4 linked regions of the Elephas maximus indicus genome follow. The protein of the gene in region 4 binds, or shares a complex with, the protein of the main gene of each other region. Links are inferred from orthologs where the notes say so. Each region holds a gene or a part of one and is shown on either strand. Other genes may lie near its edges. The genes, in order: SNW1, SNRPE, SCNM1 and CWC22.

What was found.
Region 1: CWC22 (region 4) and SNW1 share a complex: the UniProt entries of both Homo sapiens proteins name them as parts of the minor spliceosome. The link is inferred for Elephas maximus indicus from reciprocal best matches to the Homo sapiens genes CWC22 and SNW1.
Region 2: CWC22 (region 4) and SNRPE share a complex: the UniProt entries of both Homo sapiens proteins name them as parts of the minor spliceosome. The link is inferred for Elephas maximus indicus from reciprocal best matches to the Homo sapiens genes CWC22 and SNRPE.
Region 3: CWC22 (region 4) and SCNM1 share a complex: the UniProt entries of both Homo sapiens proteins name them as parts of the minor spliceosome. The link is inferred for Elephas maximus indicus from reciprocal best matches to the Homo sapiens genes CWC22 and SCNM1.

Annotation. Positions count from the first base shown.
Region 1 is NC_064828.1:90,536,252-90,543,508, forward strand, and holds the start of SNW1 (SNW domain-containing protein 1), read right to left. Parts: upstream 3,005-7,257; 5' UTR 2,945-3,004; coding exon 2,931-2,944; intron 1-2,930. UniProt on the Homo sapiens protein: Involved in pre-mRNA splicing as component of the spliceosome. As a component of the minor spliceosome, involved in the splicing of U12-type introns in pre-mRNAs.
Region 2 is NC_064836.1:13,038,964-13,045,812, forward strand, and holds the start of SNRPE (small nuclear ribonucleoprotein E), read left to right. Parts: upstream 1-3,845; 5' UTR 3,846-3,908; coding exon 3,909-3,962; intron 3,963-4,441; coding exon 4,442-4,468; intron 4,469-5,566; coding exon 5,567-5,629; intron 5,630-6,613; coding exon 6,614-6,692; intron 6,693-6,849. UniProt on the Homo sapiens protein: Plays a role in pre-mRNA splicing as a core component of the spliceosomal U1, U2, U4 and U5 small nuclear ribonucleoproteins (snRNPs), the building blocks of the spliceosome.
Region 3 is NC_064821.1:185,194,705-185,201,947, reverse strand, and holds the start of SCNM1 (sodium channel modifier 1), read right to left. Parts: upstream 3,010-7,243; 5' UTR 2,873-3,009; coding exon 2,822-2,872; intron 2,560-2,821; coding exon 2,489-2,559; intron 2,236-2,488; coding exon 2,147-2,235; intron 2,047-2,146; coding exon 1,952-2,046; intron 1,832-1,951; coding exon 1,743-1,831; intron 990-1,742; coding exon 795-989; intron 646-794; coding exon 546-645; 3' UTR 1-545. Other genes in the region: LYSMD1 (lysM and putative peptidoglycan-binding domain-containing protein 1), read left to right, coding at 3,836-4,015. UniProt on the Homo sapiens protein: As a component of the minor spliceosome, involved in the splicing of U12-type introns in pre-mRNAs. Plays a role in the regulation of primary cilia length and Hedgehog signaling.
Region 4 is NC_064824.1:78,258,941-78,265,822, forward strand, and holds the start of CWC22 (pre-mRNA-splicing factor CWC22 homolog), read right to left. Parts: upstream 3,003-6,882; 5' UTR 2,897-3,002; intron 1-2,896. UniProt on the Homo sapiens protein: Required for pre-mRNA splicing as component of the spliceosome. As a component of the minor spliceosome, involved in the splicing of U12-type introns in pre-mRNAs. Promotes exon-junction complex (EJC) assembly.

The sequences.
Region 1 (7,257 bases), on a different chromosome or scaffold from region 4:
TCTGTCTTTATTTTACTTAAATTGCACTATTGATTTGTTTACTCATATACAGTCTGAGTCCCTTACTAGAATGTAAGGCCTGTAAGAATGAGTTTACTTGATTCAATACTATAAAACCAACATTAGAATGGTGCCTAGCACATGGTAGAACTTCAAGAAATATTTACTAAGTATATGAATGAATAAATAAACAAATGGAGTCAAAAGTCTTAGGCTTCTTCCAAAGTCATTTTCAGTAAACCATATGTAAGTAATATACAATGATAAAGAGCTACAAAGACACCAAAATTATGTACTTCTGTTTCATTTCTTTTCACTTTTCTTTACCTTCTCTTGGAAGAAGCATTCACAGAAATGATCAAAAGGCAGGCAGCCTGCCAGAGAAGCAAAGGGCTTTGGCAATCCAGTAAACAGGTAACAGAGCCTGAATTATGGTCAGAATATACTCTAGCCTTCCAGAGGGTCTTCACTTTGTTCTTCCCTGAAAAGGAAGGCCTTTGCATAAAGTCGAACACTCCCATGGGGAGATGAGAGGCTGGTCTTCAGATGAAAAAACAAAACAAAACAAAAAACCCAAACCCACTGCCTAGGAGTCAATTCCGACTCACAGTAACCCCACGGGACAGAGCAGAACTCCTCCATCTGGTTTCCAAAGAGCCGCTTGTGGATTTAACTGCTGACCTTTTAGCAGTCAAATGCTTAACCACTGCACCACCACGGCTCTAAAGAACCTTCAGATAGCATAGATAAAATAGACTGCTAATTATATGTACAGCAGTAAGTCTACCAGATCTCAACTAGTGGCAATTTTGCCCCCCTGGGGTATCTGGCAATGTCTAGAGACATTTTTGATTGTCAAGATTTAGTGAGAGGGGGTGCCACTGATATCTGGTACATAGGGGCCAAGGATGCTGCTAGACATCCCACCATGCACAGGGGTCCCAAACAACAATGAATTATTCAGACCCAAATGCCAATAGTGCCACTATTGAGAAATCCAAGTTTACCCTTTTCCCTTTACTAAAGAAAGTATATTAAATGCAAGTAATGTTAATATACCCATAACTTCGAATACACTCAAATATAGAAAATTAAATCAGTTAGACTTTAAACCTTTAGTATTAGTAACATATCACTGGTGACATCAAGACTGACACATCAGTATGTCAAGACCTTGCTGTTAACATTCCCTGGTAGATCTTGGAGTTAATATAAATTAACACCTCACCTATAAACTTGAGACTATCTGTAAAAATCAAGTTAGCTAGGACTAATTCAACAAAAAGGAGCCCTAGTGGCGCAGTGGTTAAGCACTGGGCTGCTAAACAAAAAGTGGGCGGTTTGAACCCACCAGTGGCTCCCTAGGAGAAAAAACCTGGTGATCTGCTCCCATAAAGACTACAGCCTGGGAAATCCTACTGGACAGTTCTATGTCACATGGGGTCACTATAAGTTGGAATAGACTCAATAGCAGGCAACAACAATTCAACAAAATCAGAAAGCCATGTAGTCCCCAAGACCAGCCATTTAAACATTACATTGTGTCAACAAGCACACAATACCCATGACATCTCTGGTATTTTTCCTGTGCATCCATTTCCAATTCCACCTTTTCCCCAAACAAATCTTTCCCTCATAGCTCTACTAGCCTCTATCACAGTGCCTTGCACCTAGAAGGCACTTAACTGCCTGTAACATTTACTAAAGAAAACTCTCCAGTCCATAAAGCTCATTCCATCTAACTCTTTTCACTCTTATGGTTTGTGTTGCTCTTCAATCGTTCATATTTGTATGCATTGCTCCCCATTGTCTCTGAAGTCAGACAGTCAGATTTCCTTCTGCATACACCACAACTCCTAGGATGAGTCAGGGCACCCCATTTAAAAAACAACAACAAAAAAAAACAAAACCAACCAAACCAAACCCACTGCGCTCAAGTCGATTCCGACTCATAGCGACCCTATAGCAGTTCCCAAAAGAATCTTCTGAATAAAACATGTTTCGGATTCATAATTGTCATCTGCCAGGAAAAATATCTGAGGAGAATAAGGTGTGTTAAGAGAGCTCAAGTCGATATCCTAAAAGGATTACTTCTAAGGACCAAAAATTCTAAGAAATTCTAAGGTCCAAAATTACAATCCTCTTTGACACTCGACTTTCCTGTTGAATTCGCATGGCAAAGTTTTTCTACTTAAATGGGGCAGCATGGTCGCGCACTAGTAAGGGTTATGTAACTTCTTGGGATCTCCCACTTAGAGCATCTTTTTCTCAAAGGCGGGGACCCTTTACATATGGTTACCAAGGCAACCGCGAACAGCAAAAAATCGGAAGCGGTTCTATCTAGGGAAGAAATTCTAAGGTCCAAAGTTAAAGCCGGGCGCAGCGGCGCATATTAGTAAACAGCGGCCACTGCTGAGGCTAGTTCAAAATCTTTATCCACTTCCAGGCCTCTTTCTTAGGAGACCTTGTTTCGGGAAACGGAATGGACAGAAAGCCCTCGGCAGCAAGCGGACAGAAGTCCGCGTAGTCGCTTCCCGCCGGCTTCGCTCCGCCGAGACAAGCAAGCAACTGCCCACACTCCCCTCTCTTCTACCCAAGCCGCCGACTTGAGGTAGCGGTCTCCACGTCCCCCGCGATGCTGAAGCGAAACACACGTGCGACTCCTCGCATCTGGGCCGGAGAACTATTGGCCACTCCACGGCTCCGGCCTCGGGGAGGGGGCGACCCCAACCCGAGCAGACGCTCGGGAAAACCCACCCTCAGGCGAGGCCTAGTCGCCGCGGCGGCTGGCGGGAGGGCCTAGCCACGGCCTTGGTCTAAGTCGCTCTCTTCCCAAAGCCGGGTCCCCGCCCGGAGAGCGTGGACAGAGAAATGAAAAAGATGGGTCGTCTCAGACCCTTCCGTATCGAGGGCTCGAATCAACAACCCACCTGGTGAGCGCCATCTTCTTCCGCTTCTTCCAGCCCGAGCGACAGCAGCGCGGGGCGGACCTTCCCTGGCGAAGGGGCGGGGAAGGAAGGAGCGCGCAGTGCGCAGCCGCACCTGCCGAAAGGCCTTCTGGGCTTAGTAGTTATTTGATAGGGAGTACAGTTCGGGTCTCTATTTCGGGTCTCTTCTAACCAGCCTAAGCGGTCCTCCTTAGATGATCTCATTAGGAAGAGTAAAGACTTATCTGTACTCTATGATATCATAGGGCGTTCGCTAAGCGAAGTAACAAAGTTAGAGAAAGCTACCTTTTTAGCCACTTTTTCCCCCACTCAGTCCCATCACCGTCGTGTAACACGTTGCCATGGAATTGACTCTGACTCGCAGCGACCTATAGGACAGAGCAGATCTGCCCCATGGGGTTTCCTAGGCTGGGAAGGAGCCCTGGTGGCGCAGTGGTTAAGCTCTCGGCTGCTAATTGGAAGATGGGCGCTTGGCTGCTAACCGAAAGTTCGGCAGTTCGAACCCGCCAGCCGCTCAGAGGGAGAAAGATGTGGCAGTTGGCTTCTGTAAAGATTAGAGCTTTGGAAACCCTATGGAGCAGTTCTACTCTGTCCTATAGGGCCGCTGTCAGTCGGAATGGACTGAAAGGCAATGGGTGTGGTTTGGGAATCTATACAGAAGCAGATAGCCACATCTTTCTGCAGAGGAGCAGCTGGTGGCTTCCAACCTCTGACTTTTTGGTTAGTAGCCCAGCGCTTAACCACCGCTCCGCCAGGACTCCTGTTCCCCTAGATTAAAAAGAAAAAGAAAAGCCCGTTGCCATGCAGTCTATTCAGACTCATAGCGATGCTATACGACAGAGTAGAACTGCCCCTTAAAGTTTCCAAGGAGCGCCTGGTGGATTCAAACTGCCAACCTTTATAGTTAGCAGCCATAGCACTTAACCACTACACCACCAGGGTCCTCCCCTACTGTCCCAAATACAAAAACCTTCAGGTGATAACCACGTTAAATAAAAGGTAACAGGGTTTGAAACAATAGGATAGTCAGAGATTAGCGAATGGAGAGTTCTCGGACGTTCTGAAAACATTGACGTTCAAAACTTTTTCCTTTAAATGCTATCCCCTTCACAAAACCCTCTCCTGGGAAAGGCATTTTGTGATCTTCAGTAAATTACCTTTTGAAAACTCCTGATATACGTAGTATATATGTAGGTATGTTTTTTAGGTACACATAGTTTATGGATTCATAGTGAAATAATAGTATAAACGAAATCTGCTTCAAAATATTGGGAGGAGGAAAGAGTGTGGAGCATAGATGAAACAAGATTAGCCATGAATTTTGATCATTGTTGAAGCTGAGTGATGGGAAAGTGGATGTTTGTGATATTATTCTCTCTACTTTTATATACGTTTGAAATTTTCTGCACGCATACAGAAAAGTGCATACATTGTATGTGTACAGGCCTTTAGATTTTCCCAAACCACAGCAGTGTGAACAGCCCAAGAAGCTTCCCTCATCCTTTACACTCACCCTTCCTCCCAAGAATCCTCATAGTCTTTGATCTTCACGTTCTAGTGTGATAAGAGCATCTTGTACATTTTCTGCCCCAGATCTGGAGTTGGTTCTCTGTCATTTGCAATTGAAGGGAATTTACTAATGTGTTTTCTCTGTGCTCTGATAGTACTTGTGTTTCACCTATTTTTAACAAAGATCACATTCTATAGATTTTGATGGTTTACCTGACTGAGAGGAAGATTAAATCTCTCTTTGTCACCATTGTATCTCTATCATTGAGCCTGAGCAGTCTTGGGCAAGCCTTCACCCCTCACTGGATTTTGGTTTCCTCAGCTGTAAAAGGATAAACCAAACCAAAAAACCAAACCAAAACACCAAACCGGTTGCCATTGAGTCGATTCCAGTGCAAAAGATAGGGTGGGCTCAAATAATACCAGAGATCCTTCTGGTGTCAATATGATTCTAGATACTTTATTTCCTTAGTTTTTAAAACTTCTAAAGAGGTTTAAAATTTTCCCATTCCATGAACTATTGATACATTCAACAACTCGGATGAATTTCAAAGGCATCACTTTCACTGAGTGAAAAAAGCCAGTCTCAAAAGGTTTCTTATTGTACGATTCCATTTATGACATTTTGTGTTGGGGGGGAAGGAATTAGGAATTTTTAGGACTTATTTTTTTTTTATTTAAAATTTTTATTTATTTTGTTGTTGAGAATATACACAGCAAAACATACACCAATTCAAGTTTCTACATGTACCATTTAGTGACTTCGATTACATTGAGTTGTGCAACCATTATCACTCTCCATTTCCAAGTTGTCCCTCCCTTATTAACATAAATTCACTATCCCCTAAGATTCCCATCTAATCTTTCAAGTTGCTGTTGTCAATTTGATCCCTTGTAGATAGTTCTTAAAAGAGCATAAGGCTCAAGGCAGACATTTTTTAGATTTATGTCATTTTTGAAATGACAAAACTAGTGACAGAGAACAAATCCGTGGTTGCAAGGAATTAAGAGTAGGCGGTAGGCGTGATTATTACAAGGGAGTTTTTTTTTTTTTTTTTAGTTGACAGAACGGTTCTGTATCCTGATTGTGGTGGAGGTTACGGAACCTGTAAAACCAAAAAAACCAAACCCATTGCCATTGAGTTGATTCTGACTCATGGCAATACCATGTATTACAGCAGAGCAGAACTGCTCCGTAGGGTTTTCTTGGCTGTAATTTTTATGGAAGGAGATCACCACGCCTTTCTTCTATGGTACCACTGAGTGGATTTGAACTACCAACCTTTAGGTTAGTAGTCAAGCACAAACTGTCGTCATGGATTGAACTGTGTCCCCTCAAAATATGTGTCAAATTGTCTAGGCTGTCATTCCCCATATTGTGGTGTTGTCTTCTGTTTTGTGATCTGATGTAATTGTCCTATGTGTTGTAAACTCTAATCTCTGCCTGTGGTTAATGAGGTGAGATTAGGTTAAGTTACAGAGGATTAGGGTAGGATGTAATACCCTTACTCAGGTCACAGCCCTGATGTAAGGGGAGTTTCCCTGGGGGTGTGGCCCACATCACCTTTTATCTTAGAAAAGATAAAAGGAGAGAGCAGCAAGCAGAGAGAAAGAGAGACCCCAGGCCACCAAGAAAAAGGCACCAGGGCAGAGCATGTCCTTTGGACCCAGGGTCCCTGTGCTGAGAAACTCCTAGGCCAGGGAACAATTAATGACAAGGACCGTCCCCCAGAGACCACATACAGAGAAAGCCTTTTCCAGAAGCTGGGCCCTGAATCTGGTCTTCTTGCCTCCTAGGCTGTGAGAGAATAAATTTCTCTTTATTAAAGCCATCCATTTGTGGTATGTCTGTTACAGCAGCACTAGATAACTAAGACATCTACCCAGGGCTTCCTATGAATCTATACATGAGTTGAAATTCATAGAACTGTATGCCAAAAAAAATGAGTTTTACTATATGATAATTAAAAAAATAAAAATTTAACAATGCCTGGTCTAGCTCTTACTATCCTGCTGTTAGAAAAGTCTCCTTAGCCTCATTCAGCATCAGCAGCATTTTCTCTTTGGCACTGTTTCATGGCACTCTTTGGGTTCCTAGAGCCATAGGAAAGGTTACAGAAGATCAGTATTTTTAAGAAGAGTAGAGGGACAAATGACATACTAGTTTTCTATGCTACGTAACAAATTAACACAAACTTAGCGGTTTAAAACAACATCCATTTATTAGCTCACAGTTCTGTAGATTAGACGGCTTGCACATGGTGACTGGGTTCTCTGATCAGGGTATTACAAGGCTGAAATCAAGACGTCGGCCAGACTGAGTTCTTGTCCGACGTTCTAGAGAAGATCCATCTCCAAGCTCCTTCTTGTTGATTGCATAACTCAGTTCCTTGCAGTTGTAGGTTGGAGGTCCTTGCTTCCTTGTTGGCTGTCAGTGGGGGTGCACTGCCATAGCTTGCTTTTGTGTGGCCTTTCTAGCCATGGTCTTGTAACTCCCACCCAAGTGATTGGGTGAGACTGTGTGGTAGGGTGGGATTGGTGGAAACGAAGGGGATTGGTGGAAACCCTGGTGGCGTAGTGGTTAAGAGCTATGGCTGCTAACCAAAAAGGATGGTAGTTCGAATCTACCAGGCTGGCCTTGGAAACCCCTGGGGCAGTTCTACTCTGTAGTATAGGGTCACTATGAATAGGAATTGACTCCACAGCAAAGGTTTTTTGTTTTTAAAGGGAATTTGTCAGGCTAGCCATCCCACTTGGCTTGAAATGAGCCACCCCAGAGATGGTAAAGAGAAGATCCTAC
Region 2 (6,849 bases), on a different chromosome or scaffold from region 4:
AGCACCCAGTCTGTCCTTTGGAGTCTGTTTTCTGAAACTGACTTAATTCTTCAAAAGAGCACAATGCCCAAGGCAAAATGGCCTTATTAGCTTATTTAGAGGTTTTTTTTTTTAGACCATTGTTTGACTCAAATGTGACACTTAGGAACCAGTTTCTTCAAGGCTAAAGGTTCAAAAGGACACCTAACTGCAAATGGCCTGGGTCAGTCACCCCAACTCCACGGATCCAGAAATCTGTGTTTCAGGAGAATATAAATGGTTTCTCATCCTTAAGTAACAACACCCCACCACCCCCTCTCTCCAGCCCTTGGTAGCCACTAATATAAATTTACTTCTACGTATTTGCCTCTTCTAGTGTCTTAGGATGGGTTCTCTACAAAAGCAAAACCAGTAAAGCCTATATATATATATGTATGTATGTATGTATATATATATATACACACACACACACATATATAAAGAGATTATACCAAGGAGATGGCTCACATGGTAGTAGAGACTGGAGTGTCCCAATTCCGTGTGTCAGGATAGAGGCTTCTCCTGATTCATGTAGCTGCAGGGGCTGGCAAACCCAAGATAGGCAGGTCAGAGAACAGGGCTATTGCTCACAGGCTGCGAAGATCAATGAGTCGCAAGATTAGCAGGCAAGACCGCAGGTAAGCTACTAGCTCAAGTCCCGAGAGCCAGAAGTCAGACAAACAGGAGCTGCAGGATCCAGCACAAATGAAAAGCCCTCAAGTCTTACCAGAATGTCCGCTTATATTTAATGCAGGCCACACACCCAAGGAAACTCCCTTTCAACTGATTGGCTACTTACAGCAGCAGATCCCATCATGGGGGTGATCACATACCAAATCTCAACAGGAAAGTGATCACAACATAATACGACTGCCAAAAACACTGAGAATCATGGCCCAGCCAAGGTGACACTCAGTCTTAACCATCACATCTAGATAGTTCATAGAAGTGGAATCATACAATATTCTTTTGTGCCTGACATTTCACTCAGCACAATGCTTTCAAGGTTCATCCATGCTGTAGCATGTATCAGAACTTCATTTCTCTTTATGACTGAATAATTTCCACTGTATGTATCACATTTATTTATCCACTGATGGACTTTCAGGTTGTTTCCACCTTTTGGCTACTGTGAATGATGCTGCAGTGAACACTGGTGTGTAAGTATCAGTTTGAGTCCCTGCTTTCAGTTCTTTGAAATTGGAATTGCTGAGTTCATACCACTTTTTTTTAACTTTGCCATCTAATGGGGAAAAAATGATATTTCACTGTAGTTTAGTCTGCATTTCTCTTATAATAACTGAAGTTGGGTATCTGTTCATAAGTTTGAAGACCATTTTATTTTGTTAATGAACTGATTAAGAAATCATACTACCCTGCCAGAGAGACCATGTGGAGAGGCCCCAAGACTACATAGAGAGGGAAAGGGACCCAGCCAATGCCAGCCTTCCAAAGATACCCACCAAGGCCTTAGATATGTCTCCTGAAGAATTACCCAACTGAGCTCGGCCTAAATTCCTGACTCGCAAAATCATAAATTATAATAAAATGGTTGCTGTTTTAAGTCAATAAGTTTTGGAAAATTTTCATACACAGCACTAGAGAGCCAAAACAGCATTTAACATTTTAGATTTTATTTTCAGGAGCTCTTTATGTGTTAGCGAAATTAGCCATTTGTCTGATTTGTTGCAAATAACATATTTTCCCCAATTCTTCTGACTTTGCTTATCATCATGCCTTTTTAGTCTTGTAAAACTTTATAATTTTTATGTAGTTGATTTGTCTTTTAACAAATGGTTAGAGCATACAATTGAGGAAAAGACTCAATTTTTAAATAAGAGAGATGAAGAGTCTAGGATTAAATTTAAGAATTGGACAAGTTTTATATGAAGAAAACAAAAAACTTCTGTAGGATTCAAAGGAATACTTGGACAAATGAAAAGACATCGTGTACTTGAATTAAAAAAAATTTAGTTATTCTAAAGTTTAATGAAATCTCAAAAAAAAAAAAAAAATCCCCAAAGGGTTTTGAAAACTGATTCTGAAGAGTATATGAAAGTAACTAAACAAGAATAGCTTGGAAAATGCTACCTATTTCTAGTTCTATAGAAGAAAACATATTTATAAAGCTACAATACTTACAACTATGATATTGGTTCCATAGACACAAGGATCAATTGAACAAAGTAGAAGTCCCAGATACACACACACAAACACACACACTTGATATATTATAAATGTGGCATTTTAAAATAATAGGGGGAAAGATGAGGTTTTTTTTTTTTTGTAACGGTGATGGAAAACTGATAGCTGTTAGGAAAATATAAAGTTGTATCACCTCTAGGATATACAAGGATACTAGGATAAATTCAGGTGGAGCAGCAAAGACTTAAATGTAAAAAAGACAATTACAAAAAAAGAAAAAGGAAACAACACAACACTCTTAATGAGTTACATAATCCAGTTACATGAGTGGTTATAGGGATCAACACCCAAAAGTCCAGTAACAGGAAAATGCTAAAACAAGTAGCTAAGCATCTGTGCATTTGAGACAGGTATTACACTACTACTGAATAGGTAGGTGTTAATACTACTACTCTTGTGTTCTATCCATATAGGGTCCCTACAAGTAGGGATTGACTTGACGGCAATGGGTTTGGTTTTGGGGGGTTTTGTGTTCTATCCCGGCTGTCTTTGAATTCAGCAAATCTTTACCCAAATCTTTGTCCAATTAACTCCGTTCAGAGCATGGGGTAGGAATGAGGTTAAGAGAAATAACTGTCCCATGACCTTTCTAGCTCTTTATAGTTAAAAAATCACTTCTATGTCCCCTGATTCAACACTTTTGAAGAGGTAGAAATTGGTTTTATCCTCATTCAACAAAAGACCTCAGTTAGGTAAGTTCTGATTCTGCCACTTTCCGTTAATGTCCCTTAGGCAAGTCCCTTCAACTCTGAGCTTCAGTTTCCTCATTTAAAAAATGAGTGTTCCAATTGAATGAAATTTCTGCCAGGCCACAAGCCACCACGACATAACGGAAACACTGGATGAGCTTTGGGGTGTGGCATACTTGCGCATTTCAGCTCCCCCACTCACTAGGTCGTTACCAGCGAAACGGTGTGTCACATCTAACACTGACTCCAGCCTGAACGTGTGTGTGTGTGCGCACTGTATTACACCACTGAATTCTCACCACAAACCCGTAAGGAAGGTACTATTAATTTTATCTCCATTTTGCACATTTCGGTCACGTAACTATTAAGTGAGCTGGATTTGAGCCCAGCATCGGATTTCAGAGCCTTCACGCTAAATCACCACGTTGTTGCCACCTCACAAAACTCCCCCACGGAGCTGACGAGAGGAGTTGAATCCGTCACTAGGGCAAACCACAGACTGGGGCTGTTTGCTCGGGCTTCCTGCCGCTCTCCCCGCGCTCGCCCCACAACGCTGCCGTCGAGCCTAAATTCCAGGAAGCTAGGCCTCAGGAAAAGGACTAATTTAACCCATTTTACAGACAGAGACACGCAATAGGACGACTACGGCTCTAAAAGCGGAAATCAGAAAACGGAAACGACCTGGTGCCTGTGTTTCTACCGCTTTCCCCCGCTTCCACCGCACGACCGAAGTCCCTCGGGGCTTTCTCCCGTCTCCCTCCAGGTGGCGCTGTAGGATCGGATCAGGTTCCGATCCTACCGAGTGCAGCGCCCTCAGTTCGGCCTCCCCGGGATGCTACAGATCACAGAGAAAGCCACTCTGCGGCTAGAGAGGCACCACCCAGTAGCCGTCAGGTCGCTGCGCGGCCTCAATACATTTCCGTTTCCGGTTCCTAATTCCGGAAGTCGCTTTCTGCGTCGGCGTGCGGCTTAGTGTGGTCTTTGTGAGCTTCCACCATGGCTTACCGTGGCCAGGGCCAGAAAGTGCAGAAGGTGATGGTGCAGCCCATCGTATCCTGCTTGAGATGTCAGGACTAGGAGATTCGGGCTAGGAAACGGAGGACGAAGGAGCGGGCAGAGACCCGGCCTGAAGGCGAGGAGTGCGGGTTACATCCCATGAGCCTCCGGGGTGATCGAGACCGGGAGAAAGCGCGGGTAGTTGGACTGGTGCTGGGTGGGAGGTGAGGATAGGCCGACCCCGGGGGTGGGAGATGTAGGATGTCGAGGCTGAGCGGAGGGACGACATCGCTGGGTACTGAGTGAACGCAGAATTACCGGTTTGAGGGAGGTTGTCGGGGCGATGGAAACTCCTGACGGATAAGGGAGTGGGGGGGATTCCTTCCGGGTTTTTAGGAGACTTCGGTTGAGTGCCATTTGTTGGGCACTGTTACTTGTGTAGGCAGCAGACCTCACGTTCAGAAAACAAACCAAAAAAAAAAAAAAAAGTGCGATGGTTGAGATCGACCAGTTCCTTAACTACTGTGATGCAGAACCTTATCTTCAGATATTTGCAAAATGTACGTAAGTTACTTGTTTCATAATGATTTTTTAAGTAAAAGTTGGGTTTTCTAAGCTGTATGTGTCAGTCTACTGGGTCGCTGTGTTCTATGTTAAAAATAAATGAAATCAGAGGAGGGGCTGGAGGGATAATTGACAGGAAAGGGTACAGAGAAGCCTTAATATAAGAAAGTAGTTATTTACAGCTGTCAACTCCAAGCGTGCAAAGAATTGTGTCATTTCTTTCCAAAACCAAAATTATGAGTTTCAGGGTTTGTTCGTTGGCAGACGTGTTGATAGTATTTGGTGCTTTTGTTGTAGTGATTATGACCAGAATATGGGAACGTTCTGATCTCCTCCACTTAGGGTTGCCAGAAGGTCAAACATGGCTTAAAAGAAATACCCAGTTAACTTAAACCATGTCGTGAGATGTGTGCTTAATGCCTATGGGAAAACTTACATATAGAAAAGACGTTTAAAAATGTGGAGTGAAGAAGTAGATTCAGCCTGCTTTCCTTTGGGGGGATTTTTAGCAATACTTTCAGTTGACAGGTCAGATGTTAAAATTATCTCTGAAAGAAAATGTTTCTGTTGCTCTGACAAGTTTTAGTGTGTGATAAGTAACACAGTTGAAAAACAGAGTAATTTCAAGCCCCGTAAATTGTAAACACCGGAATTGGTGATCCTCCTCTGGTGGTTATGTGTGTGACACGGAGGGCTGAGAAGCTAGAAGAAGCCTTGCTTTGGAGCTGGATTTTGCTTTATCAGATACAACATATGCCCTTAATCTTGATCGTCGGAATTTACTGCTTTGTGCTATACTGTCACCAATTTTTAATCTCAGTGGATTGGGATTATAAGTAATGAGAAATATGATTGAGTCCTGAGATCACAGCCAATTTGTTAGCCCAGACAATCACAGTATAACATTTAATAAATGAAAAGGTTTCTTGGCAAGTAACCTATCTTGACTCTTAGGTATAGACTTGCTGGTTAAAATTCTTGACTTATATTTTTCGGATAGTTTTTTAGGAGCCATAGTTCATCTCTGTTGTTTAACCAAAGTGATTAGATTGTATTTACTTATTCTAACATTTCTTTTTTTATGATTATTTCAGAGATCCCGGATTCAGGTGTGGCTGTATGAGCAAGTGAATATGCGGATAGAGGGCTGTATCATAGTGAGTACCCAGGATATTTTATCTCAGAGCAGTTTGTTCCCAGAAAAAGACTTAACGGAAAGTGGCTAGGCAGAGCAATATATGGAAAATTGAAGATTCAACCCAAGGAAAGTTTTTCAGGGCCCCCTGGTTAGCCTTGTCATTGTTCTAGTTGTTAGGGGTTGGGTAATTCAAAAAAGAACAGGAAAATTAAGCTTTTAGGATTACTTAAACAACAATATTGGCATTGCGGAAGGGGACAAAAGAGATAAACCAGTTGCCATCGAGTTGATTCCAACTCATAGCAACCCTAAAGGACAGAGTAGATCTGCCCCATAGGTTTTCCAAGGCTGTAATCCTTACAGAAGTGGATTGTCATATCTTTCTTCTGCAGAGTGGCTGGTGGGTTTAAACTCCCAACCTTTTGGTTGGCAGCTGAGCGCTTAACTGGTGCCCCACCAGGGCTTCCTCAGAAAAAATAAAACATAAATTTAGAAGGGGAGATTAATGGAAGCATGGCTGAAAGTATTACGTCAGAGCACTCTGGTATTCCATTTAGACATGGCAATTCCGTTTAGACATCTTAGATTTCATCGGTAATCTCCCCTGCCCGATTTACCGGTCGGGAAACAAATGTGGTTAGTGGTAATAGCATATTGTGGGGACACAGGGGGAGAGCATTGGCAGAAGATAATCATAGACATACACACATACTCTATCAGGCAGGTTGTGAAAGAGAGCAAGAGTGGCTCCTTGGCATAGCTAATGAAATCCTAAGTCCAAGAGGTTTGAGTAGTAATTTAGAATACCTTCTGGCTTTCTTTGTTACTTAAAAAGAGACTTAGGGTGAAGGTGGTGCTTACATATGCCTTACTTTAGATGAAAGATCAGTAGAGGGACGAATTTCTGAAGTTCATTGGCATTCTGTATCTAGATAGATACACTCATTTTTGAATGGTTTGAATGTGATCTAACTCGATGATGGTCCTGTGGCTTATTTTCTAGGGTTTTGATGAGTATATGAACCTTGTGTTAGATGATGCAGAAGAGATTCATTCTAAAACAAAGTCAAGAAAACAACTGGGTAAGAATATAGATGGCCTTACAGAATCCTAGAAAGGTTTATTCAGTTGCAAAATTAGTGACCTGCAGCTCAGTTCATTCTTAAATTTAGTTTGCATTTGAGAAGTTATTGTTTGGGGGAGTAGTGTACTCTTTCGAAATCATCCTCTCCCACTTAC
Region 3 (7,243 bases), on a different chromosome or scaffold from region 4:
GGCAATAGGCCCCAAGGGTTACTGCCAGTTCACCAGGGGATTATTTATACTCTGGGGATCAGCAGGCAGGGAGGTTCAGGTTACCAGGGGAAGGTGGGGGAGCTCCCTCCCTTGGTGTTCCCTATAACTCTGCCAGTGCCTTTGGTCTATTCTACTTTCATAGGGTACCTAGCCTCAGCTCTGTTTCGAGATGTGGCTGGGTCCCCCCCAAGGGCCTACCCAGAGCCTTCATGCCATCTGAAGGGGGAAAGGACTTTCAGTGGAGGTGGGGAAGGAAGTAGACAACATGAAGGGCAAAGACCTGCTTCTGACAGACTTATTAATAGGGCACTGAGCTGCATGCAGCTGACGCTTGGCATGACGTTGGTAGAAGGTGGGGAGGGGTTAGAATTATGGGGTGCTGTGTACCTTGTAAGGAAGGAGTGTCTAACCTGAGAACGAACAGATTTCATATCCTGAGATGGGACAATGAACCAGACTTGAGGAAAGTTAGGCTCCCAGCACCTGTTGTAGTTTATTTGTGAACTGAATGGGGAAAGAGGGTATCAGTCCAAGGGGAGATCAGGGGGTTCCTCCTCATCAGAGTCAAACTCAACATTTTCATCTTTCACCCATCGACCCTGTCCATCTGGGATCCATCCAGAGCTGGAAACATCAGAGTAAACAGAACTGGTCAGAATGAGGATAGGAGGTTTATTAAGAAGTTAGTAGGGATGAGAAAAAAACTCAGTAGGTTTGAAAAAAAGGCCAGAGAGAAAAGAGCAAATGCGAGGGAAGTGATTCGGCATACTTACCTTCGAAGAGTGAGGTAACGATCCAGGGCTTGTCTTCTCGTGGGGCTCATGGGTACAGGGGCTGGGACAGTTGCTGATTTCTTGGCCTGTGGACCTGTTTCAGGCTCAGATTCCCTGCTGATCTTCCGACTTTGGAGTTCAGCCTCTGCAGGTGGCAAACGGGAATGGACGACGGAGGGACCAGGGGCTTCTGGTCTGGGTGGAGAAGGATTGAAGTCTGTAAAAGTGGTAAAGGAAAGGGCCAGCTCTCCTGTGACTCCCAACCCCTTAATGCAGCGTTTTCTAAACCATGTTCCTCAAGCTATTAATGAGAATTGTGCATAAAAAGGATTTTGAAGTCAAATGAATTTGGGAAAGCCTAGGTTAAACAAAATTTTTAAAGGTTTTTTTTTTAATTTCAAGACTTTGTAGAGCCCTTAAATATGCTAATATCACTATGCTTAAAGTAGAATTACAAAGCGCCATATCCCAAACTTTATTTGAAATCACGAAAAAATTTTTTTTTCCTGGAATACCAATTAGCATCTTCAGAACATAGTATTCCTCAGGATACGATTGGGAAGACAATAATTTTAGAGCCATCTATCTCCCACTGTCCCTCCCTACTGATTCCCATACTAGTAGTTCTTTTCCACCCACTGTCTCCATCTTTTTATGTCCCTAACCAATGTGAAAGACCTTTCACTGTTATTCCCCTATTCTTAATTCCTCCTAATACAGCAACGTGCCGTGAGGAAAGAATAGCCTTCTAAACAAATGGTGCTGGGACAACTGGGTAATCCTCATGTAAAAGAATGAAGTTGGACACCCCCCGCCACCTCATACTGTGTACAAAAATTAACTCAAGATGGATCAGGGACAAATTTAAGAGCTAATACAGTAATGCTATCCTTTCCCTATTTCCCATGCTCAAGTCATATTTTTCTCTGGCTTTCCCATCCCACAGACCTGTACTTCCGGCGGCAGCAACTGTTATAGTGGGGAGCTCTGTGTAGAGCACTCTGAGTGATAAATCGAGTCTGGGCCAGCAGAGGAGCCTGGTATGGGGATAGGGGAAAAGAATCAGAGCCATGAGAGCTAGAGAGAAGCCAAAGCCCTTCAAGCCTGGGGTGTGCAGCAGGGTCTTGTCTGGGACACACCTTTCCCGCTCTGATTACCTCAGCTTTGTTCTCCTCCCTCAGTTCATTCTGCTGTCTTGGATTCTGCTCCATTCCCTTTCCTGGCTGCTTCTTGCCATAAAAACGCTGCAAGCCTGAGGAGTAGGGGGGAGGGAATTAAAAGCAAAGCGCTAAGACTGGTCTGCAGAGGTTTCAAGGGTTTACACTCTATCCCATGCACTCTTTTAAACTTACTGGACAGATGTTTCTTCCCTGCACGATGGGCAGTCAGCATGGCCAGGGTGTCCAATACAGGCCGGTGAGGGCAGATGGCACAAGCAAAGCTGAGGAGGGGTAAAGAAGACAGTTGGTACAGGGGTAGGAGTGGGAGGTCTGCTGTAGGTTCCATCCTGTCCTAGTAGTCCTTTCCAAAGCCCTACTCCCAGTTCTAACCTCCACCGCCCACATCCCTGTCTCTTCCAGTCTCTCACTCTCTGCCAAAGAATTTTAGATACTCCAGAACTCCCCCATAATAACAAAAGCTTATTGAGCCTCCAACCGCAGAACTCTCAGGCTTGAATCCTTCCTCGCCCTCACCGTCCATCCCGTAGCATCAGCGCCTCATCCTCTGGGATATAACTGGCCAGCAAGTCCCCGACTCTTCGTTTCTGGAGGGAGTAAGGGAACAAATCCGAACGGAATAAGCGGGACAGGAGGCAGAGATGGAAGGGAAAAATGATAGAGACGAGGCATCAAAGGGAATAAGGTCCATTGGAAACAAGCGATCATAGGGCGAAGAAGAGGTCTAGGAGCCTGACTCCCTCTCGCCCCTCATCCCTCCGAGCTGTTTCCAGAGCAACGAAACAAAGCTCTTTCAGAGTTTTCAGAGGGTGGCTGAAGCTGCTCCAGACCCTCTACTTTCGCGCTTACTTTGAGTACATTGAGTTGACTCCAATCGTCTCCTTCTCTCTTGAAAGACATCGCGACTGTCAGCCTCAGAAGCAACAAATTCGCGGTACCAAATTTTTCACTCCCTTCAGGCCACCGTAGCGGTAGAGGGGTGTCTCCTCGCCCTCTGCCTGTCTTTTCCGGTTGGCCTCGTTACTTCCGGGGTGTGCTTCCCCGCATGCATTGCGCGATTCTGAAAACACTGTTCTTGCGCAAAGGGGACTGCTTTTCCTATGGTGCCCTGCGACCCCGCCGGCGCGAAGCCTCTTGGGAAATGAAGTCTTTTCTCAAAGAACTTGTCGCCCGGCTGGAAGCAGGCCCTTGAATCTCGGCAGATTCGAAGCATTTGAAGAGACAAGAACCTATATGTGGAGCTGATGCTTGAACCCGAATTTAAGACCGATCTGATGCGGAGTAGGTCCTTAAGGATCGATGAGTGGATAGTGGACTACAAACTCTCCAACCACCCGCTCTTCATCTGCGACGTCAGCTCACCTAGGGTGGGCCCGGCTCGTTCCAGACCCTAGGGGATCAACCCCGGGACGGGGCGGAGCTGGGGCGAAGGGGGGTCGGGAGCCCGGGCTGCCCGGCTGTGGAGCAAACTGAGGAAAGGGTGTTGAGGAAGGTACCTAGAGTTCCAAGGTCAAAGGTCAGTGTAGCGAGGAGTTGTGGGGTTCCAAAGGGAGACTTTGGTAGAGACTGAATACCCAGGGGACCAGATTTGTGGAAAAGGGACTTGGAGGGAGAAAAAGCGAGGGCAGATAATATCTGTCTAGAATATCCTAGGTCCCTAGGGGAGGGAGGGGAGGAGTGACGGGGGCGGGTGGAGGTTCGGGGAGTGAAGAGGAGCTGAGGTCGGGGCGGGGGGAAGGGAAGATTTAGGAGAGAAGGGGAAGGATCTCCCTGGATATCCATTCCCAGACGCCGGCCCGTCACTGTCCATCACTTAGCCGGTCCTCCCTCAGTCGCAACCGGAGCTGTCAGCAGGGTGAGGAGATGGCTTCTCCCTCTAGACAGCCCCCCCTCGGGGGATCAGGACTGCTTCAAGGGAGCCGGGCTCGTTCTTATGGAAGCCTGGTGCAGTCCGTCTGCTCCCCAGTGAGGGAAAGACGCCTGGAGCATAAACTGGAACCTGGAGACACTCTGGCTGGACTAGCACTCAAATACGGGGTGACGGTGAGTCTTCCAAGACTAGGGTGCTGACAACCAGTTAGGAGAGAATGTCCTGAATGCAGTGACCCCTCTAAGTAACTTTTCCAGGATTTTTCCTAATTGGGGCTGTGTCTGTTCTGGCTTTAATCTGTTTGTTTGTTTTCCCTTGTCAGTGTTGCTCTCTCTGGTTGGGGCAAATCCTGCCCCACTACCTTAAAGGAGAGGAGCAGCTACTACTTTATTGAAGCCTACTCTATGCCAGATAATATACTAGCTGCTTTACATGTATCATCCCATTTGATCCTCACATCCCCTCTCAAGTATACAATTATTGTTCCCTTCTTGCAGATAAAGAAACAGAAACATGGATTAATCTGTTAACCAGTTTTACCAAAATGAAATAGCTAATGAGTGTCTGAGTTGGAATTCAAACATCTGTCAGACTCTAAAGACTGTACTACTATTAACTACATGGAAACTTTATAATTGATAATGATAAAACATTTACAGCAAATAATGGAGAGCTGGTTTTTAGTTCTAAGTTCCTGGTGTGCCTATCTCTTCTTGTCCTTTCCTTTCTCAGTGCTTTGCCTTCTTGCCAGTAAGGTGGCTTTTCTTGGTAAGGAACAGGTTCTCTTTACAGCAAGTATGTGTAGGGTGTATTTGATAGGTGTAACAATATATTGCGTTAAAGTTGGCGAGTGTTTTTCCATATCCTGTTCATTCAATTTCACACAAACAAATGTTGAATTTAGCCAACATTTGCATGCTTGCTCTGTTTAAAGCAGTATGGTAACCATCTTGGACATAGAAACAAATAAAATGTGTGGCTGCTGCCTTCATGTAATTTACAGTCTGGTGAGAAATTTCCTGGGACAAAAATAATGATAGTAGGTGGCAGAATGTGTTGAATTTGTAGTGATATTAACAAAGGATGGGAAGTTAGAAATGGAGATTAATTTTTACTTGGAAGGGACAGAGGTGAACATCAGTGCAGGTTCTGAGGCAGCCGTCACTGTGGTCCTTGGAAGACTTAGAAACTTCTTCTGTGCTTCTCTCTACGATTTGTGGAATACTGTTATTTGCATAGGTTTTTGTCTTCTCAACAGCCTATACTCTCCTTAAAGGAACCGTGGTGACGCAATGGTTAAGTGCTGAGCTGCTAACCAAATGTCTTCGGTTAGAACATACCTGTGGCTCCCCGGGGAAAAAAGACCTGGCGATCGGCTCCCATAAAGATTACAGCCTAGGAAACCATATGGGGCAGTTCCACTCTGTCCTATAGGGTCTCGATGAGTTGGAATCAGCTTGATGGCACACAACAACAACATCCTTTCTTTAAGGATAGAAACTATTTCCTGTCAATAATTATATTCTTAAAGTCTGGTATAGTCCCCACCACATAGCAACTTAATAGATGTTTTTCGAATGAATGAGTATGGCTAAGATTTCCACACGTAGAGACTGGAAGTATAGGAAAGAGTACATTTCAAGTACAGGGAATGGCCTAAGCAAAAGAAGTGGGTGTGAAAGTACAGGGCAGCCCCTGGGGCTCAGCAGGGTCTCAGAAGCTTTGCAAACAAGGAAACTGGGCTACCAGTGAATCAACAAGTACTTTCTGAGGCTTTTTTTTTTTTTTTTTTTGCTCTGTACAGACAAGCTCTGTCGTCTAGTGAAGAAGAGTCCTAGGTTCTAATCCCATGCTGCTGCTTACTGAGTAACTTTAAGTCACTTCCCCTCTCTGGAACCTCAGTTTCCTCACCATTTGTAAAATGAGGAAAATGTATTAAATAATGATAATTATCAGAGTTATTATCTACTTATCATTTAAGGAACACTTGCTATGTGGAAAGCTTTGTATATGTGTTACCTCATATTATCGTCATAAGACTCAATGAGGTAGGTGTACCTATTCTCATTTAAAGATGAAGAAATTGAGACCTAGGGAGATAACTTTACATAGATTATACAACTAGTAAAATTGATAGAGCTAGGATTCAGACCAGGTTTTCTCATTCTAAAACCTTCACTTTTAATTGCTAACTGGTGGCACAGTGGTTAACAGCTCAGCTGCTAACCAAAAGGTCGATGGTTCAGCCACTCCCCTTTAAGAGAAAGATCAGGCAGTCTGTTTCCGTACAGATTACAGCCTTGGAAGCACTATGGGGGAGTTCTACTCTGTCGTATAGGGTCACTATGAGTTGGAATCGACTCGACAGCAATGGGTTTGGTTTTTTTAGTTCTATTATACTATCTAGATTCGAAGGGCCTTTCTAGCTGTAAAGACTGTGGCTCCATGGTCCTTTGACCTTGGTCACATTGCTTTTAAAAGTAGGATTATGTCTCCTCATATGGTGCTTCCAGGAATAATAAAAGAAACAGAAACTTCATATATTAACTCATAACATCTTGAAGCTGGAAGGGACCTAGGATATTATCCCAGCAAAATAAAATCAATAGCATAGAAGCACTTGGCAAAGCAAAAGTATAAAAGTAACAAGCCAATGTTAACTTTTTTTATTGTTCAGATTAATCTGATTTCATTTTTAAACATATTATAACAGTCTAAGAATTTAGTAGTCAAGTTGAGACCTAGGGACCTAGGTCTTGCCACAGAGTAGAAACATCTTTGATATTTGACCAATGTGGCTTTCCAAGCTGATGCCAATACAGGATGAATTTTTAGTAAAACTGGCAACCTGGCTCTCGTATAGTAAAATACTGACGCCCTATGTTTATGGTTCCTGTATTTTATTATTTATTCATAATGCATTAATGACCCCCATTAACATGAAACATTGTGGGTTGCTGAATAGTGCCTTGGGGATACAAGACAGCAAGTTGCCGTCTCTTTCCTTAAAGGACTCACAGGGTAGTAGGAAAGACAAACATGCAAAGAAGAGAATAACAGTGTAATAGAGTAGGTGTTATTTGGGCAATATCTACAGATGCTTTGGCAGCCCGGTGGGGGAAAGATGTGGCAGTCTGCTTCCGTAAAGGTTACAGCCTTGGAAGCCCTATGGGGCAGTTCTACTCTGTCCTATAGGATCGCTGTGAGTTGGAATCAACTCGAAGGCAGTGGGTTTTTGGGAGCCCTGATAAGGTAACACAAAGGGAGGGATGTAGATGAGTGCAAGCTTTCCAAGCCCAGAAAGAGCTAGTGGGGAGGCATTTCAGGCAGAAGGAATAGCATGGATAAAGACACAGAAGTGTGAAAGAGCATGGAACATTCAAAGAAAACAAAAAAGTTTG
Region 4 (6,882 bases):
CAGTTAGGAAAGCTGGTTTAGGAAAGACAGCTAAGTAGCCTAAAAAAACCAAACTCCTTGTCGTCGAGTTGATTCCAACTCACAGGGACCCTATAGTCTAGGGAGTGTCTAACTACAGAAGTGGTTGGAGCTAAACTATCCAAAGTGAGGAAGGGGAGTAGCAGCTGATTCTGGAAAATGAAACAAAACACAAACAACAGACAAAAATAGATCTCTAGGCCCCAAGAGTATGGCCCTCAGCCACCTTTTTAACTCACTACTAAAGTCACTCCTAAGGGTCACCCTTTGGCCAAAGATTTAGGCCCATAAAACAAACAAAAATACACGTAGCTCAACCATGTATAGGGGTTAAATGGGCACACCAGGCCAGCAGCAAGGATGAGAAGGCAAGAGGGGACAGGAAAGCTGGATGAACGTAAACAGGAAACTCAAGGTCGAGAAGGGACAGAGTTGACGCATTGCGGGGTTGGCAACTGGTGTCACAGAACAATATGTGTATTAGTTGTTTAATGAGAAACTAATTTGTTCTGTAGATCTTCATCTAAAGCACAATTAAAAAAAAAAAAAACAGGTCTCTAGGGGATGTGGTTCTCAAACAGGCATGAGAATCAAATAGATGGTTTATTAATAATCAGACTGATAGGCTCCCATTCCTCCAGTTTCTGATTCAACAGGACTGGGGTGGGCCCCAAAATATGCATTGCTAACAAGTACTGATGCTGCTGGTTCAGGAGACCACTTTTAGAACCACTGAGCCAGGGTATTAGATCAAGGCTCTCGGCCTCTGATAAGCAAGCAAGTATAAGCAGAGTCCCAGTAAAACCAGTAACCAGTTGCTGTTGAGTCAACTCCGACTCGTGGCGACCCCGTGTGTGTCGCAGTAGAACTGTGCTCTACAGGGTTTTCAATGCCAGATTTTGGGGGAGTAGATCACCAGGCCTTTCTTCCACAAAGTCCCAGAGCCCCAGCCAGATTAGTTACGAAAGGCGCCTGTACACTTAATAGTAGAAGGGCAACATGTAACAGTAGTAGTAGCAGCAACAGCAATAATAAAATAATAAAAACCAATTCCACTGCCGTCGGATCGATTCCGACTCACAGTGACCCCAATGGGGTTTCCAAGGCTATAATCTCTATGAAAGCAGACTGCCACATTCTACCCTGGAGCCGGCTGGTGGTTTCCAAAGACTGATCCTCCCATTAACAGTAGATAATTTTGACCACTGTGCCACCAGAGAGCCTTAATATAATAAGGGCTAACACTATATAATAGAGTCCTGGTGGCATAGTGGTTAAAGGCTTAGCTGCTAACCAAAAGTTTGGTGGTTCAAATCCACCAGCCAGTCCTCGGGAGAAAGAGCCCTTCCGAAAAGATTTAAAAAAATACCCAGTGCCATCGAGTCGATTCCGACTCTATGAGTCCGAAAAGATTTACAGCCTTGGAAACCCTAAGGGGCAGTTCTACCCTGTGCTATAGGGTTGCTATGAGTCGGAATCCACTCGACAGCAATGGGTAACACTATATACCAGGCACTGTGCTTAATATCTAATGTGCATTATTTTCCTTCATCTTCAAAACAACTCGGTGAGGTAGATATTATAATCTAAGTTTTTCAGGTAAAGAAGCTAAGATGAGAGACATAAGGTGACTTACCCCACCCAGGTGATAGACCCAATAAATGTCAGGCCAAGACTGGAACCTTTGGCTCACTAGTCCATTAATCAACTCAACGCAAGGGAGTTACCTCCTCCTACAGACACAGTGTGCAGTAACTTTACCATGGTCAAAACCCACACTATTAAACACCAATTCTAAAGTTGCTTTTCTGTTAACTGAAGCTAATTCCTGAGCTCAGAGACAATACTAAACCAAGACAAATCTAAACACAGAAAAGTAAAAGGTAGGTTAACATGTTTTCTGAAAACCAAGCTTGTTTGCGTATCTACCTCATATGTCTAGTCTGTGGACACCCGAATATGCAAAGCAAATTCTTATCACGCTTTCAATCACTTCAATGCTTGCCTTTGGAACAGCCTTTCTCAGTATGTTTCCTTTTCCACTTACCTTGAAGAACTGCTTTGAGGGTTAGGTGAAAATAAATAAAGCAGTTACCGCAGTTAATGAAACTACTAAAATACCATTGTACGCAAGAATGTACTGTTGGATCCGGAGCTCAGAAGGCAGGTGGACACCTGAGACTCAAATTTGGAAGTTATGATCACCCTACTGGATGTAGTTCCAGTGATCAAAAGATGAAGATGACAGTGAAAGAATACACATGATAAGGAAAGAGCCCCCCCCGGCCTAAACACTGAGAACAATCAGTATTTACGAGGCAAACGAAGAAAAAAGAAACTAGTAAAATAGGTAGTCACAGGAATATTAAGAAGGAAATGAGTGAAAGAGTGCAACTTCCACTATTTCAATCAACTACAGTTTCCTAATCCCACCCCCATGACTCTAGGACGGGGACACTATGAAAGGTGCCTGGGAAGCCCAACTTAACTCTTCAGGCTCTAAGTACCCCGCGCCCGAACCGCACTGTACGCGAAGAAAAAGACCATCGCTACTGCTGGATTTCACTAACAAAGAGATAGGAGTCAGCCCAAAACTCTCAGGCGGAAACTAAGTTCATCCATGCAGGCGGGGAGCGAGCACACCACCGCCCCTTCCTAACCCGCTCCGACTCCTCGACCCGACCCGCGCTCACACCCCCACCTCGCGGGCCAGCGCACGGCGGGCAGGGAGCAACGCGCACCCGTTTACAGCCCACGGCTGGGCCAACGGGCGCGCACCCACTCCTGGGCCCCTTTCACTTCCCACCCGTTCAGGAAAACTGCCACACCTACGTCGGATCCCTGCCTACAGGGAGTCTACGGAGTTTGCGGTAATTACCTACAGCTCCACCGCGCCGCCATTACACCGGATACACGTCACTTCCCGTTCCTGGGCTCTGGCGGCACAATGAAGGCGGAGCGTGAAATACATTAAAAATTAGCTGTGATATGTTATAAAAGTATTGATTTATTTTAACACTATTTCGTAGTACTAGATTCAAAGAACTCTGTGCATCCACTTGCTACCCCTAAGACGGCGACAAAAGAAGTTGATACAAACGACTAAATCAAACACCCACTGCCCGTACGAGCGGAAACGACGCTAGCGTAATTGTAGTTTTAGGCTGTGGAGGCCGCAGTGTAGGATGGGAATTGTAGTCATTGTAGGTAAGCGCCCCCGAGTACATCCAGTCAACGCACCGGAAACGTGGTAAGGGTTAGGGTTTAGCGAGGTTTACTTTCATCTAAAACTATTTTCTGCAGTTGGCATGACTGTAATACTTAAGTCAGTTTTCCGTGAAAATCTTAAGAGCAGACAGCTTATTCAGACTCTTTACAGTAGTTTCACGAGAGCGTATTAAGCTTTACCAAATGTTAAAAAGTGCCTGTAAAGTACCAAGATTTCAAGCCTAAGTGAAGGAGAAAATACAGAACCATAAATAGTGTGAAGTAATGAAGAGAAGCTAATCCTGAAAAGAAAATGATGTCTCTATCTTAGGCTGGGTTCTCTAGAGAAGCAAAACCAGTGAAGGATAGAGAGATCCAGGTTTCAAGGAAATGGCTCCCAGGGTTGTAGAGGCTGGTAAGTCCCAAGTCCATGGGTCAGGTGTCAAACTGGAGGCTTCTCCTGACTCACTTAGCTGCAGGGGCTGATGAACCCAAGATCCACAGGTCAGATGTCAGGCTGCTGGCCCAAGTCCCAGGGACCGGAGGTCAGATGCTGACGAGCTGAATGCAGGATCCAGAGCAGAGCAGAAGCCAAGGAGCTTTGCCAAAAAGTCCAAATATATTGGATGCAGGCCACAACCCCAAGGAAACTCCCTTTCAGTTGATTGGCTACTCATAGCAGATCTTGTCATGGAAGTGATTACATCATTATACAACTGCCAAACTACATCATAACTGCCAAACCACAGAATCGTGGCCCAGCCAAGTTGACATGCAACCTTAAAGATCATAATACCAGTTTTTCACGGTCAAGATATCATGAGGTAAGGAGATTATCTGGCAGAGTTTGAATGGTAGTCTGTACAGAGTTCAGGGATCCAGCATCAATTAATTTCATTATGCCTTACTTTCCAATAGCAACAAAAAAGTTCAACTACTTCTAACTGTTTGGGGATATATCCTTCCCTAAAACAACTATGAGGAGCCCTGGTGGCACAGTGGTTAAGCACTGGGCTGCTGTTCGTACCCACTCGCTGTTTCACGGAGAAAAATATGGCACTCTCCTTCTGTAAAGATTTACAGCCTTCGAAACCCTATGGGGGCAGTTCTACTCTGTCCCATAGGGCTGCTATGAGTCAGAATCCACTCAAGGGCAATGGGTTTGGGTTTTGGTTTAAAACAACTATAGCATATTCACCAACCTTATATAAACCAGGCCTGGTTTCTCCAGATACTTATTTATTACATTTTTAGGGTGCTTCTGCTACCAACCCTTTTCAAGAGAAAGAAGAGTACAGTGGTTAATAATAAAGAAGCTGGAGCCAGACTATTTACATTTGAATTATGGCTTCCTAGCTGGGTGACCTTAGACAAGTTACTTCACACTCTGTGCCCCAGCGTCCTGATCTGTTAAGTAGGAATAATACCAATACCCATCCCCTTAAAAAAGAGAAAAAAAAAGCTGCACTGGAGTCCATTCTGGCTCATGGAGACCTCATGTGTTACAGAGTAGAACTGCTCCATAGGGCTTTCTGGTCTTCTGCTTCCATAAAGATTTACAGCCTTGGAAACCTGATGGGGCCGTTTTCTGCCCTATAGGGGTGTTGTGAATTGAAATTGACTCAACAGGAATGGGTAATCATTATGACTGTAACTTTTTATGGAAGCAGATTGCCAAGCCTTTCTTCCATGCAACTGCTTCGTGGGCTCGAACCACCAACCTTTAGGTTAGTAGTCAAGTGCCTAGTATGTAATAACTGCTATCTGTTATTATCGATGGAAACCCTGGTGGCTTAGTGGCTAAGAGCTATGGCTGCTAACCAAAAGGTCTGCAGTTGGAATTCACCAGGTGCTCCTTGGAAACCCTGTGGGGCATTTCTGCTCTGTCCTGTAGGGTCACTGTGAGTTGGAATCGACTTGACAGTAACGGGTATTATTATTCATATGAAGAGAGTTGACCATAGCTAAAGTTGTGTTTTGGTGTTCTAAGGTATTTTAAGGGAATATGTTTCATTTGTACCAATACGTGGCACAGGAGATGAATCTGGTAAACATATCTAAAAGAAATATAATGAACACCACTGCAATTATCAGTGGAAATAAGAAAGTTAGGATTGAGCCTACAAGAGTTGAATGGAGCCAGAAAAAAGTAGGTTTGTCATTTCGGTCCTCCAAGAAGAAGATACTGAGATAGAGTTAGGAATTTTAAAAGAAAAGGGAAGAAGCAGGATTGGGCAGGGGTAGCTCCAAAGGGGAACTACCAAGAACTCATTGCTGTTGAGTTGATTCCTACTCATAGTGACCCTACAGGACAGAATAGAACTGCCCCATAGAGTTTCCAGTGAGCACCTGGTAGATTTGAACTGCCAACTGTTTGGTTAGCAGTGGTAGCTCTTAACATCTATGCTGCCAAAGTTTCTGAAACGGAGGGACTACTAAGGGATTAAATGACTAGGTCCTTATACCATAGTGGTGGCACAGTGGTTAAGACGTACGGCTGCTAACCAAAAGGACAGCAGTTCAGATCTACCAGCTGCTCCTTGGAAAGCCCGTGGGGACAGTTTTACTCTGTCCTGTAGGGTCGCTGTGAGTTGGAATTGACTCAGTGGCAATGAGTTTGGCCTTTGGTTTTGTAATGGGTTTGGTTTTTGATTTTCTACTGCAGTATTGCTCAGAAGATTGTCCCTCTCCACTGTCTTCAAGGCTGTCCTGAATGAGGCTGTGATGTGGTTGCTGTCTATTTTCAGCTTTCAACCATGTGGTGAGCCAATCCATCCATAAACTTAGCTTGGCCTTTTTTTCTTCTTTCCTCTGATAGTTTTAGCTCCACTCCCTCTCATATGGCTATCAATATGAACTGAGGGAGGGATGTCAGTGTAACGGGTGACATGGAGGTCTGTGCTACCTGCTCATGTAGGTCTCTTGTGCACTCTGGTGTTCTTTGTGCTTCATCCCAAATGTGAGACTTCCATCTTATGATGAATTGTGCTTGGGGCCCTCAGAATTTATGTGATATGGGTTCTTGTCCTGTCCTATTAGCCAATTGAAATAAGACAGACACCACACCACTAGTTGCAAGGGAAACGGAAAGTGGCAGTTTATTGTTTGCACAAACAAGGAGCAATATGGGACCTAGCAGTCGAAAGACCATGCACTCCCCATCTGGGGTGGGGGGGCAGTTGAGGAGCTTTGTATTTCCAGTGGCATCTGGGGGTTGGGTTTGCTGCCCGGAACTTTCCACCCTTAGTCCTCCCATGTCCACATTTGGAGGTCCAAATGGTGAATCATGTTGGTGATGCTCAGGTCCAAGGACAGGTTGAGGATGCTGCTCTTCAGGTCCTGTGCATGGGCCAAAATCCTGGTTCACGCATGCGCTGGATTCTGGCACCAAATTCAAACTGCGGTTAGGTTGGTGTGGTCAGGCCAAACCACAGTTAGAAGCCGTGGCTTGGCGGGCTGTGACGGGGGGAACCATGGTGGAGCAGCGGAAATCTCGGCAGAGGCTTCAGTTGCCTCTCTATCTTAAAAGGTGTTTAGGGCCGAAGGTCTCATCTTCTGTAGCTTCTTCCTGCTGGCTAGGGGTGCTGGCATAGAACTGGGCTCTAGCTGGAACCTGCTCAAGGAAGATGGGGTGATATCCCCGTTGCAGTATCATCT